Xenopus tropicalis: one gene and its partners. The protein of the gene in region 2 interacts with the protein of the main gene of each other region in a biochemical or structural test. Links are inferred from orthologs where the notes say so. Each region holds a gene or a part of one and is shown on either strand. Other genes may lie near its edges.

The links.
Region 1: the proteins of aurka (region 2) and incenp form a complex in vitro, tested with the Homo sapiens proteins (3 studies listed by BioGRID and IntAct, with this or other methods). The link is inferred for Xenopus tropicalis from reciprocal best matches to the Homo sapiens genes AURKA and INCENP.
Region 3: of the proteins of aurka (region 2) and nin, one has a biochemical effect on the other in vitro, tested with the Homo sapiens proteins (2 studies listed by BioGRID). The link is inferred for Xenopus tropicalis from reciprocal best matches to the Homo sapiens genes AURKA and NIN.

Annotation. Positions count from the first base shown.
Region 1 is NC_030680.2:22,838,897-22,842,983, reverse strand, and holds the start of incenp (inner centromere protein), read right to left. Parts: upstream 2,801-4,087; 5' UTR 2,750-2,800; intron 1,224-2,749; 5' UTR 1,216-1,223; coding exon 1,079-1,215; intron 1-1,078. UniProt on the Homo sapiens protein: Component of the chromosomal passenger complex (CPC), a complex that acts as a key regulator of mitosis.
Region 2 is NC_030686.2:6,093,973-6,098,136, reverse strand, and holds the end of aurka (aurora kinase A), read right to left. Parts: intron 3,820-4,164; coding exon 3,671-3,819; intron 2,626-3,670; coding exon 2,451-2,625; intron 2,193-2,450; coding exon 2,013-2,192; 3' UTR 1,341-2,012; downstream 1-1,340. Other genes in the region: protein FAM210B precursor, read left to right, coding at 1-45. UniProt on the Homo sapiens protein: Mitotic serine/threonine kinase that contributes to the regulation of cell cycle progression.
Region 3 is NC_030684.2:96,223,227-96,227,183, reverse strand, and holds the start of nin (ninein), read right to left. Parts: upstream 2,801-3,957; 5' UTR 2,429-2,800; intron 1-2,428. UniProt on the Homo sapiens protein: Centrosomal protein required in the positioning and anchorage of the microtubule minus-end in epithelial cells. May also act as a centrosome maturation factor.

The sequences.
Region 1 (4,087 bases), on a different chromosome or scaffold from region 2:
ACTCAAGACAAACAATAGAAGCAGGCTTGTTTCTTCCCTCAAGCAGAACTTTCTGCATTCCAGATGTATTGCGCACACCTATCTATACATATACCAAACAAAAGCCCTACAGGCACACAGTCTGGACTGAAACAATATTTTAAATCAATTCAGAAGAAATATTTGTAGGATTTAATTAGAGCTTTTGGGCTGGAGGAAGTGGATTTCTTGCAAACATTATTATATATTCCACATTTTCTGGATACAGTCTTGCAGAACAGAGGTATGGAATGTATTACGTATTTTATAAATGTTAAAGGGTTACACAGTTAATCTGGGTTGCCTGGCAAGAAGGCATTCCAGTAACAAAAAAATCAAGTTAACCCGGAAGCTGTTTCAGATTAGCTTTCTTTGCCAAACAATAACCACAACCTAAACAATATGGTTAAAAACTTAACATGCTTGTGACCTAAAAATTCTAGGGCGAACTTTCAATTTCTGGGTACAAGTGCATCATCAATACCGACTGTTTGCAGTGATAGGATAGGCTAAAGGGCACTACTGGGGAGAGACTTGCAGATATGCCTGCATTTGTTAAATAGTTATAAATAAAAAAAAATAACTAAGGCCCATAAAGCATTTATCCAGTTCACTTGCTAGTCAACATTTGCTACTTGGACCAACCAATCAGGAAATACAAACTGGACTCCTGCCACCCTTTTACAGGAATGGGCATCACAAAAACCTTTGTGGCACTAAACTCTTGCCTCCCCAGGACCTTTATTACTTACCAGAAGAAACAGCCATGACATGGAGCTTAAGAGGGAAACAGACCCGTTTGGCTGACGCAACCCATGGAAACAGTGCATCCAGCCTATAGATCCACTCCACAAACACAATGCAATGGTTGCAGCAAACATGTGATGGGACTTTAGAGTTTGACACTGGTAAGTAATAGGGCATTAGGAAAGGCAGGGATTATTGTTTAAAAAGATATTATATATGATTATATGATGCTAAATCAGTAGACTGAGCATGCATTCCATATCTAGCGATAGAGTAATAAGTGTCGAATTGTTATGGTTCATACAGAACGCACCTGCTGAACATTTTTCTTGCCTCTTCTTCAATCTCCAGAAGCCAAACCATGTGCTTGCTGTCAAGAGTCCGAACAAACTCCTCCGTCTTGCGAGCACACACCTGCAAGAGGTGGGACAGGCACTCCGCGTCGTTCATGGTGGAACCTGCAAAATAAAGAGGACTTACTAATAGCAGATAACATTACAATGAAAGTCATCAGCAGACAACTTGGCTTTATTAGAAACATAACTTGTAGTTTACTCTCATAGAGGGTCAAACATATACCAAACAGGAGACAACTAGATCCTGTCACACAATGCAGTGTAGTAAAGCCTTGGGTATAAAACACACAGAGCAATTTAGTAGCATCTACTTGTCACAGCTACTAAACGCCAGAAAATACCCTGCCATAGACAATACTGAGAATTGCTTCTGATAAAACACAGACAGTCATCAGTAAATGATCAACATTGTCTATTTTAGTAGCTGTGACAAGTAGCTGCTACAAGTAGCTCTGTGTGTCTTCACCCTAACAGACCAGGGGATACCAAAATGCCAATTTCTGTGAGAGAAAAAAGCATCCCCAATGACACTCCTCAGAAAATTCTACATGAGCTGACAAGAACACCGTGCAGGAGATGCTGCCAGCAGTAGTCACTTAACCTTTTGGTGGCCAGCCAGTGCAATGCTGTCTAAAACTGCTAATAATATGAAAACTACAACAAAAAAAATGAATGTACATTGCTGGCAAACAGAGTACTATCAATGTATTTATATGCTTCCAGGTTTTGTTTAAGTCAGTGAAACAAAAAGCAGACTTGGAGCACTCCTGCAGCTGGCATGGAATGAGTTAAATAAAAGTCTTGGTGGGTTGTGACAAAATAAGCAAAAAATTAAAAATTTAAACTAGTGGTTTTAAGATTTATTTGTATTTTTTAGGTGATACCCCTGCGTTAAGATACAAAACAAGATTGGGGGCCTCTTAAGCAGAAAGCAAAATAATTAGATTTAAAAAAAATGATTTCCTGCCTCTCTATAATAAGACAATACTCTGTACTTGATGGTAACCAAGTTGCATGAATTTATATTGGTTTCAATAAAACAAAAACCAATTCCTAAGCATTTTGGGTATCAGACCCCACACTGCAGTACAGCAATCCCCATAACTGACCCTTATGTTAGGATTACACACATAAATAGGAAAACAAACACAACCTCTACAATATCCAACGTAATTTTAAATTATGATGCCACCCCCAGTCATTGCCCCAGGCTTTCCTATAGCAGCCAACTCTGCATTGAGCTAAATATGTCAGGCTGGGCCATTTCAACACAAGGGGGGGGGACCGGTCCATTTAAACCCGAAGGGGTCAGCGCTGGTCATTTAAACCCAAAGGGGGCATGCCGGCCCCATACGGCTTGAGGATATTATGTCCGGCTGGTAGAGGGAGAAAGCCTTGGATAGTGCGTAGTTATTCGCGACAAATACGGGGCTTATAGGGAACCCAGATAGAGAGAAGGGGTGAGGGACAGAGCTGTGCAGCTGCAGCGCATCAGAGGTTGTTAGAGGCCAGTCTGGAACCTCCAGCAGTGGAGATAGAGCCTCACAGCGGCCAGCCGGGCAGTCTGACAGGAACCTATGAGAAGCATGCCGTGGGCACGGAAAGGGTTAACATTAGCCGGCACTTACCGATTCCGGGTCCCGTACCGTGCGCTGCTTTGTAACCCGCTCTTATTTTCCTTTGCGTTTTTTCCCACCCCGTCCTGCACAAGCGGTGCCTTCCTCTCCCGCCCAAAGAGTTCAAATGTTTCAAAAACCTAACGGCCGTAGCTGAGAGGCTGTGACATCAGAAGGAGGGGCTTGCGAACCCAGGCTCGCTCATTGATTGGTTAGCTTGACACCTAGGGGGCGGGGCTGTTTGGGGAAGGAAAGTAGCTCTATGGTAGTGGAGGACTCACAAATGCGCTAGTGGGATATTATACTAAATAATTGCGTTTGTTGTACTATTGTGCAGGTACTGTCTGCTTAAAGCTCAGTACGCAGATCCGGATTTGTACTGAATGGGGCTCTAGAAGCGTAATCCTTTCGGTCCCAACATGCTGCTCGCAAAAATGAGAACATTTACGGAAAAAACTACTGTAGCTGCAATGGGTCATTTAAATGCGCGTTTAGATTATTTCTTTATCTAAGCGACAGTCCTGGTGCTTTATGGCTGTGATTATAGTGATGTTTTTGCGGCAACTCACCTTCTCTGAAAATATTTACGAAGGTTGATTGGCTCCTGACAGCACTGACCATAGTGTCTGTGATTGTCATAGGGGCATTAGGGCAAGGACTGATGTGAATACAATAAGAATGTGATTGTTTTTGAAATTGTGTATAAAAAAAAACAATTTGATGCAGGCCTAAGGTATGGATGCCCAAGACATGCCCCCTGCTGTTTTCTGCCACCCCCCCCCCCCCCCCCTTTTCAACTTCCTAATGCACAGGGCCAGAGTACCACAAGGCCTAACAGTATGTGCCCAAGAGCCTACCCCCCCCCCCCCCATGTAATGCAGTTTGGTTTTTTTATATATAAAAAATATATAAAATAATTAGGGTTCAAATTTAGTTCAGAAGTCAGACAGATCTTTCCAGAGGTTTCAAACCTTATGGATCCAGTGCATCCACAGTTAAAAAAAAGTAGCATTTCTATCATGCTGAGCTTGAGAATAATATGTTGTTTTCTAATTCTTATATATGATCATTTCTGCTTGTGAGTTGCATCAAAATGAGAACTGCTATAAAGGGAGACCATGTTCTACATCAGGGATCCTAAACCTTTTTTTATCCCTGAGACACACTCAAATGTAAAGAGAGTTGGGGAGCAACACATGCAACATGTTCCTGGGGTGCCAAATAAGGGCTGTAATTGGCTATCTGATAGCCCCTATGTGGCCTGGCAGCCTACAGAGTTCAGAGTTCAGTTTGGCAGTACACCTGGTTTTTATGTAACCAAAATGTGACTTTAAGCCAGTAATCTAAAAA
Region 2 (4,164 bases):
CTCAGGAAGGTCGGGCTTTTCAAGCCTCCGACCCAGATCCATTAGGACGAGAGCAGAATTTTTTTCTTACTTGAAATCTTCTAATTCTAGAATATTGATAGAAACCCAATCCATGAGCAGTCGGCTAGCAGAACCTTTTAGGGAGGAGCCAACAGCTGCCTGTTTGTGGCACAGGGAACCAGAATTATATGGAAATAAATTATTTTTACATCTAAATATATAGACGTTTCACCCTTGGGTTTCTTATTAATGACCTCAAAACAGCTGCCTGGGCCTTTAATTAAAGGGGAAGCTTGGGGTGTATATAGAGTACACATTTAATGGACATTTAACCATTGCTTATACCCTGCAGAGCTGCTTATACCCGGGCTGCCTTGCTGGGCTCTTTACACTATTTCTGCATTCAGCAGGCTGATTATCTCCGACCATATGGCTGTGGGGCAGATTATGGCTGCTGATTGGGAGCCCTTGGCTCGGCCCAACTGGGAAACCTTGAGCTCACAGAAGTATGGGTTCCACCTATTGGTTGGCAGAGGTTATTACAGCAGCCTAATGGACCAAATAAAAATGCCAACCAGTTCCTTATGGTTATACAGTACCTAGGTTACCATTCTGGCCCCCCCCCAAAGGAATTAAAAACAAAAAAATCCTAGTGGCTAAGTGATTAAAAGGTAGGAAGTAGTAATAGGATTGTGATAGAAAGCAGAGATCTTATCCCTATCCTATTGTCGGTGTGATCCAGAAGTCTAACTGGCCTTCAGGCTGGGCCCCCTTAGCCCATAACAAGGTTACAGATATATAGAAACATTGGGGTAACAGTCACCCCGCTATAGTTCCAGGGGTACCCAGGGCACAAATAAGCACTCACCCCAAATCCCCCCCTAACTGGCCTTCAGGCTGGGCCCCCTTAGCCCATAACAAGGTTATAGATATATAGAAACATTGGGGTAACAGTCACCCCGCTATAGTTCCAGGGGTACCTAGGGCACAAATAAGCACTCACCCCAAATCCCCCCCTAACTGGCCTTCAGGCTGGGCCCCCTTAGCCCATAACAAGGTTATAGATATATAGAAACATTGGGGTAACAGTCATGTTGCAGGCTTCCAACTCACAATAAAGTGCCAGTAGCCCTGTAGGCAGCCTATTCTATAATAACCTTCATGGCTCTATGCTTACTGACCCATCTGGGCTAGTGTCAGACTAGTAATGTACCATCTTCCTGCTTAGGGGAGCCCCATGTCTTTGCCCTTCTTTCTTCCCCCCATTGGAATCTATGGATTTCGGGGTACCAGCCCATTTTGCCACCCATTCCCTAACTGAGAAAGGCACCGTTTGGCAGTAACTTTTTCAATCAGCTTTATTTTAAAACACAGAAAGAAAAGGGAGCATCTTAGAACAGATTTTTATGCTTTTCTAAAAAGTGTTGTTAACACATAAAAGGACAGACGAGATATAAGTTGATACAGAATAGGTATTTACACTGAATTCATTCTCTCAGTATTCAGAGCAGCTGTGTAATGGGACAGCCATATTAGCAGCCTAATAAATATACCCAAGGCATTCACATCACTATTGCACCGGCCAAGGAAACCTTACAATCTCTGTATAATCAATCAGTGGTGTCGGAACCGGCAGATTTTAGTTGTCAGTGCGTATACAGTTTTATAACTGCCGCATCTGGGGTTAAACATCCATAGTAAAGGGAACCTGTGCCAGTAGCAGAGCAGTGGTTTGTGACGATAGAAGTTATAAAGCACCGGGCCTCGTGGCCCCTTTAAAGAACCCGTCGTTCCAGATCAGGCAGTCTAGTCCCATTCACAAAAGGCACGCAAGGCGGTGAGTGTTCCATGGTACATTGCCTTGTGTTGGAGTCAATAAGCAAATACTGAGCTGTGAGTTGCCAGATTGTGACCCCCCCCCCCCCCCATTAAACAGGGCAGGGGGGTATCCAGCAGGTGCAAATTGCTGTGCCTTCTCACATTTGGGAAAGTAAAGATCCACAGGGGATTTCCTATTGAGCCCCTGTAACCGGCCCCTCTTTCCTCTTGGGCTTTTGAGCAGAATTATCTATGATCCACGGATGTTCGAGAACCCCCTTCAGGGACAGCCTGTGGTTTGGGTTGTGCTTTAACAGCTTCGATACGAGATCTCTGGCTCCTTCCGATACATACGAAGGATACTGAAATTCAACCTGCAGAAAATAAAGCAGTTGGGAGGGGGGGTTATACTGGGAAGGGGTATGAAGCGCAGCACTAAATATGTCATGTTTGTATTTAGACCCCCCCATCAGATTTAGTGGTAACAAGACCAGTTTGACCATAGCCAGTCTAGTTGGAATCAGTACTGATATTTATAATAGTGAAGCACCTCACCCCAGTGATGGGAGCACCCTGCCTGTCCGTATGTTGGGCACGGAGGTGGGAGTACTAAGGGGGATATAGAAAGATACCTTTGAAATACGTCTGTAGGTTTCCTGGTGGGTGTCAGTCTCAAATGGAGGTTTCCCTACAAGGAACTCATAACAGAGGACTCCCAGGCTCCACAAGTCCACCTTCTCGTCGTGCATTCGGCCCTCAATCATCTCAGGAGGGAGATAGTCCAGGGTTCCGCACAGAGTGGTCCTCCTGAAGAGAAGCAAAATGGAAAGATCCAGATCTCAGAAATGCCAGGATATTGCACTAACTGGCCTTCAGGCTGGGCCCCCTTAGCCCATAACAAGGTTACAGATATATAGAAACATTGGGGTAACAGTCACCCCGCTATAGTTCCAGGGGTACCCAGGGCACAAATAAGCACTCACCCCAAATCCCCCCTAACTGGCCTTCAGGCTGGGCCCCCTTAGCCCATAACAAGGTTACAGATATATAGAAACATTGGGGGTAACAATCACCCCGCTATAGTTCCAGGGGTACCCAGGGCACAAATAAACACTCACCCCAAATCCCCCCCCTAACTGGCCTTCAGGCTGGGCCCCCTTAGCCCATAACAAGGTTACAGATATATAGAAACATTGGGGTAACAATCACCCCGCTATAGTTCCAGGGGTACCCAGGGCACAAATAAGCACTCACCCCAAATCCCCCCCCTAACTGGCCTTCAGGCTGGGCCCCCTTAGCCCATAACAAGGTTACAGATATATAGAAACATTGGGGTAACAGTCACCCCGCTATAGTTCCAGGGGTACCCAGGGCACAAATAAGCACTCACCCCAAATCCCCCCTAACTGGCCTTCAGGCTGGGCCCCCTTAGCCCATAACAAGGTTACAGATATATAGAAACATTGGGGTAACAGTCACCCCGCTATAGTTCCAGGGGTACCCAGGGCACAAATAAGCACTCACCCCAAATCCCCCCTAACTGGCCTTCAGGCTGGACCCCCTTAGCCCATAACAAGGTTACAGATATATAGAAACATTGGGGTAACAGTCACCCTGCATACAAGTTATTTTTATTGTGACATACTGAAAAACTACGCTTGCATCATGCTTTATGGCAGGCTTGCTATATACTCTGAGAAAAAAGTCCCAGAAGACACGTGGGCCTTACATTGCAAGGGATCTGCTTTATGCAATAGGCACCCAAGTGCAAATCTCCCAATAATTTCCTGCAAGGACAGTACACCCTAACGCAGCAGAATTCCATCCCTTCTCTCCCCTTGAACCCCTGTACCTGGAGGACGGCGCGTGCACAGACCAACCAAAGTCAGCGATCTTCAGTTCCCCGTTGGCACCGAGCAGCAAGTTCTCTGGCTTGATATCCCGGTGTATCACGTTCTTGGAGTGACAGTACAGGAGGGCTTCTGCCAGCTGTTTGATGTACTGGGGGGGGGGGGGGGGAATGATAAAGGCACTGGTTAAAACCTCCCATTACATAGAGAATCAGATTTACCAACATGGGGTCAGTAATGCATAGCAACCAATCAGTTAACAGTTTTGTCTTGTCTACAAGTTGTGGTTGGGTTGCTATGGGCAGCAGTACCGGTGCAACCAATTACCCACACAGGGTATGCAGAGTCAAAGTTGCAATAGTTCTAGTGACCTATAGAATCAGATGCCTGCCAACTGGTTGCTATGGGTTACAAGACCTCGCACAAGCTTTGTATATTACTTGGCTCCCTTTCCCCATAGTATTCCCCTGGGTAGGGATACAAAGGGCCATCAGCA
Region 3 (3,957 bases), on a different chromosome or scaffold from region 2:
CTCCCCTAGCAACTGAGGTGTGTTAGGAGCCACAACAAGTCCATTACCACTAACACAAACACTTCACACCCTGCCTACAGCTCTGTTGAAACAAACATTAGTGTGCAGACAGTACTCAGTGGGATTGCATTCAGTATAATTATACCCAAGCCCTATGACCCTATTTACGGAGGGAGATTAGCTCTTGCTGTAACCCATATATTAAACACATATAAGAGAGAAGCTTTTGTGTCTGGGGCAAACAAATATTAGGCTCAGCTGCACACAGAAATGGTCTGATATGTTCATTAGTTTAAACCCCCCCTGTAATCCAGAGAACTGCAGAAAATCTCAAATACCATATGGCTGATATGATGACATACAACCTCTTGCACACATTGGAGTGATCATAAAATGTCCCCTCATATGCATTATTATGGGTTAAAAGTTATTTTTTTTCACAGAAAGTCACCTTAAATGTGTTACCTTTTGCTTCTAGAAAAAGTAAGCAGCTAACTAGATGGGTCAACAATCAAGAAATGATGTCAGCAAAAGGGTTAATGGGCTGGATACAAGCAAAACATTTGGAAAAGTGGTTTGCTTTCCCTTGGAAATTCATGGCCATACTTTGTTGAAAGTGACAATAAAAGGAAGCAGATGGGAGCGTTAAAGGAAAAATTAACTACACCAGAGCTCATCCACAAGCCCAGGCAACTAACTGTGCCAGCCTAGCCAGAAAAAAACAGCTAATTCCCAGAGAGAAATGCACAGCACCCAAGGGTTCTTTGCTGTCAGCCCCCATGGATCACATGCACTGTTGTAATGAAATAATGCTACAGGCTGCAGAACGAATACAGGGACTGTCAAACTCCCTTTCTGGACTACAGCTCCCATGCCAGCCAACAAAAAGGGCAGATTATGGGTTTAACTCTTTGGTTACATCAGCTGCTATATTTTTTAAATATCCGATGTATGATTTCACTATAAATACACACCACTACCCTTGGCAGTGCTATACACTGTGTTATTCATTAAGCAGGGAGAGAAGTATGATGGCAACTGCAAATCAGCATAGAAACTCCATAGTGACAACAGTTGTGTGGCTTCACTGAACCACTGAGGCAGTTTCCCAGTCCAGTAGAAGCTAGTGCTGCACATTAGTAGTACCAAGAGTATATTGTGTATTCATCCTGGCACAGCCACTGCATAAACCCCTGGCACAAGCCCTTTACCAATCCCCATGACCTTTAAAGTTTATGTCTCCCAGTTAGTGCCAAGAGATCCGTTAAACCATGCAATGGCAGTATCTGTATCCCTAGCAGTGGCACAAGATCTCTTCTCATCACCAAACATGCTCATTAGGTGCCCCTAGCAGTGGCACAAGATCTCTTCTCATCACCAAACATGCTCATTAGGTGCCCCTGGCAGTGGCACAAGATCTCTACTCATCACCAAACATGCTCATTAGGTGCCCCTGGCAGTGGCACAAGATCTCTACTCATCACCAAACATGCTCATTAGGTGCCCCTGGCAGTGGCACAAGATCTCTACTCATCACCAAACATGCTCATTAGGTGCCCCTGGCAGTGGCACAAGATCTCTACTCATCACCAAACATGCTCATTAGGTGCCCCTGGCAGTGGCACAAGATCTCTACTCATCACCAAACATGCTCATTAGGTGCCCCTGGCAGTGGCACAAGATCTCTACTCATCACCAAACATGCTCATTAGGTGCCCCTGGCAGTGGCACAAGATCTCTACTCATCACCAAACATGCTCATTAGGTGCCCCTGGCAGTGGCACAAGATCTCTACTCATCACCAAACATGCTCATTAGGTGCCCCTGGCAGTGGCACAAGATCTCTACTCATCACCAAACATGCTCATTAGGTGCCCCTGGCAGTGGCACAAGATCTCTACTCATCACCAAACATGCTCATTAGGTGCCCCTGGCAGTGGCACAAGATCTCTACTCATCACCAAACATGCTCATTAGGTGCCCCTGGCAGTGGCACAAGATCTCTACTCATCACCAAACATGCTCATTAGGTGCCCCTGGCAGTGGCACAAGATCTCTACTCATCACCAAACATGCTCATTAGGTGCCCCTGGCAGTGGCACAAGATCTCTACTCATCACCAAACATGCTCATTAGGTGCCCCTGGCAGTGGTACATGATCTCTAAACGTAGCATGCATTCTAAGAGCCTGTATCCCATTCCCTGACAATAGCATGGCACAGTGATTTCCTGGCCAGACACCACTCTGGTTTCCTCTATTTTCGCTCGGGTAAGTACAGCTCTGTGCCACAAGCGCCCATGTGAGATGAGCGGCACAAGAAACGCGAGCATTGGGCTTGGCTCCTGGCTGATTCAGCATTTGGATCACAAGTACAGATTGGGCTTCCCTAAACCAGAGACCGCCCTCCCCTCTAAAACCGTTACATACCCCTCTTGTTCCTGCGCCAGAAGATCCGCTCTCACTCCATCCCGGGGCTGGGGCTGTGTGTGCGGAGAGCTGCCCTGTGTAGCGCGGTGACGGGGCCGGGGGAATGGGGACTGGATGCTGGAGTTGGTGAGCTTCTGGTCCCCTGGTCTCCACAGCCCGGTTACCCTTCCACCGATCTCTAGCTGAGCTGTTTGAATGGTCAGAGACAGTAGGAGGAGAGACCTTACGTCTGTAGGCGTGGGAAAGACATGGAACCCAGAGAGAAGGCGCACACGCTCCCCCCACAGGCAAACACGGGGAGCTGCCACAGAACGCAGCCAGCAGGGCAGGGAGCGGTGCGTCTGCTACTCGGATGCTGCGACCTAAGGTCAACCCAACCCCCCGACCGAATGAGTGGGGTTTAAAAAGTGAAAGAGCTGGAGGTTGATCGACTCTTGAATAAATCTCATGTCAGAAGAATGCTTCAGTTTTGTTATGCCCTAAAGCAGGCATTGTAATGCGCTACTACTTGTTACTGGGCATGTTCTGACCTATTACTTGTATCATGTTGAGCATTATAGCATCTGTATTACTTTTCTGCCAAGAACAATGCAGGCTTTTTTATTGGAATTACTGGTCTAGATACTCTTCAAAAAGTATCGGGGGTTTTGGTGAATAGAAGTGCATATTTCAAAATACACATTTTAGACAGTCTTAACTGGGCCATGCAGGAATGCCCCAATATACTGGGCCCAATAATACCATGTGGTAGAATGTCCTCCAAAATGTGCAGTAGGGGTAGGAAAATGGTGTAAGTGGGATATATATATATATAAAAAAAATTTTTCAATAAAACCACTTTTTCTTTTGTATCAAGTCCCTATGTGTGCGGCACTCTTTCTATTATATTTTTGTTTTTTGACCTGCACCAAGAGCATTTGGACTTGTATAGGGTGTGCTCCTCCCTGTATACTATATATATATATATATACAGTGGTGTGAAAAACTATTTTATTCCTGATTTCTTATTCTTTTGCATGTTTGTCACACTTAAATGTTTCTGCTCATCAAAAACCGTTAACTATTAGTCAAAGATAACATAATTGAACACAAAATGCAGTTTTTAAATGAAGGTTTACGTTATTAAGGGAGAAAAAAAACTCCAAATCTACATGGCCCTGTGTGAAAAAGTGATTGCCCCCCTTGTTAAAAAATAACTTAACTGTGGTTTATCACACCTGAGTTCAATTTCTGTAGTCACCCCCAGGCCTGATTACTGCCACACCTGTTTCAATCAAGAAATCACTTAAATAGGAGCTACCTGACACAGAGAAGTAGACCAAAAGCACCTCAAAAGCTAGACATCATGCCAAGATCCAAAGAAATTGAGGAACAAATGAGAACAAAAGTAATTGAGATCTATCAGTCTGGTAAAGGTTATAAAGCCATTTCTAAAGCTTTGGGACTCCAGCGAACCACAGTGAGAGCCATTATCCACAAATGGCAAAACATGGAACAGTGGTGAACCTTCCCAGGAGTGGCCGGCCGAC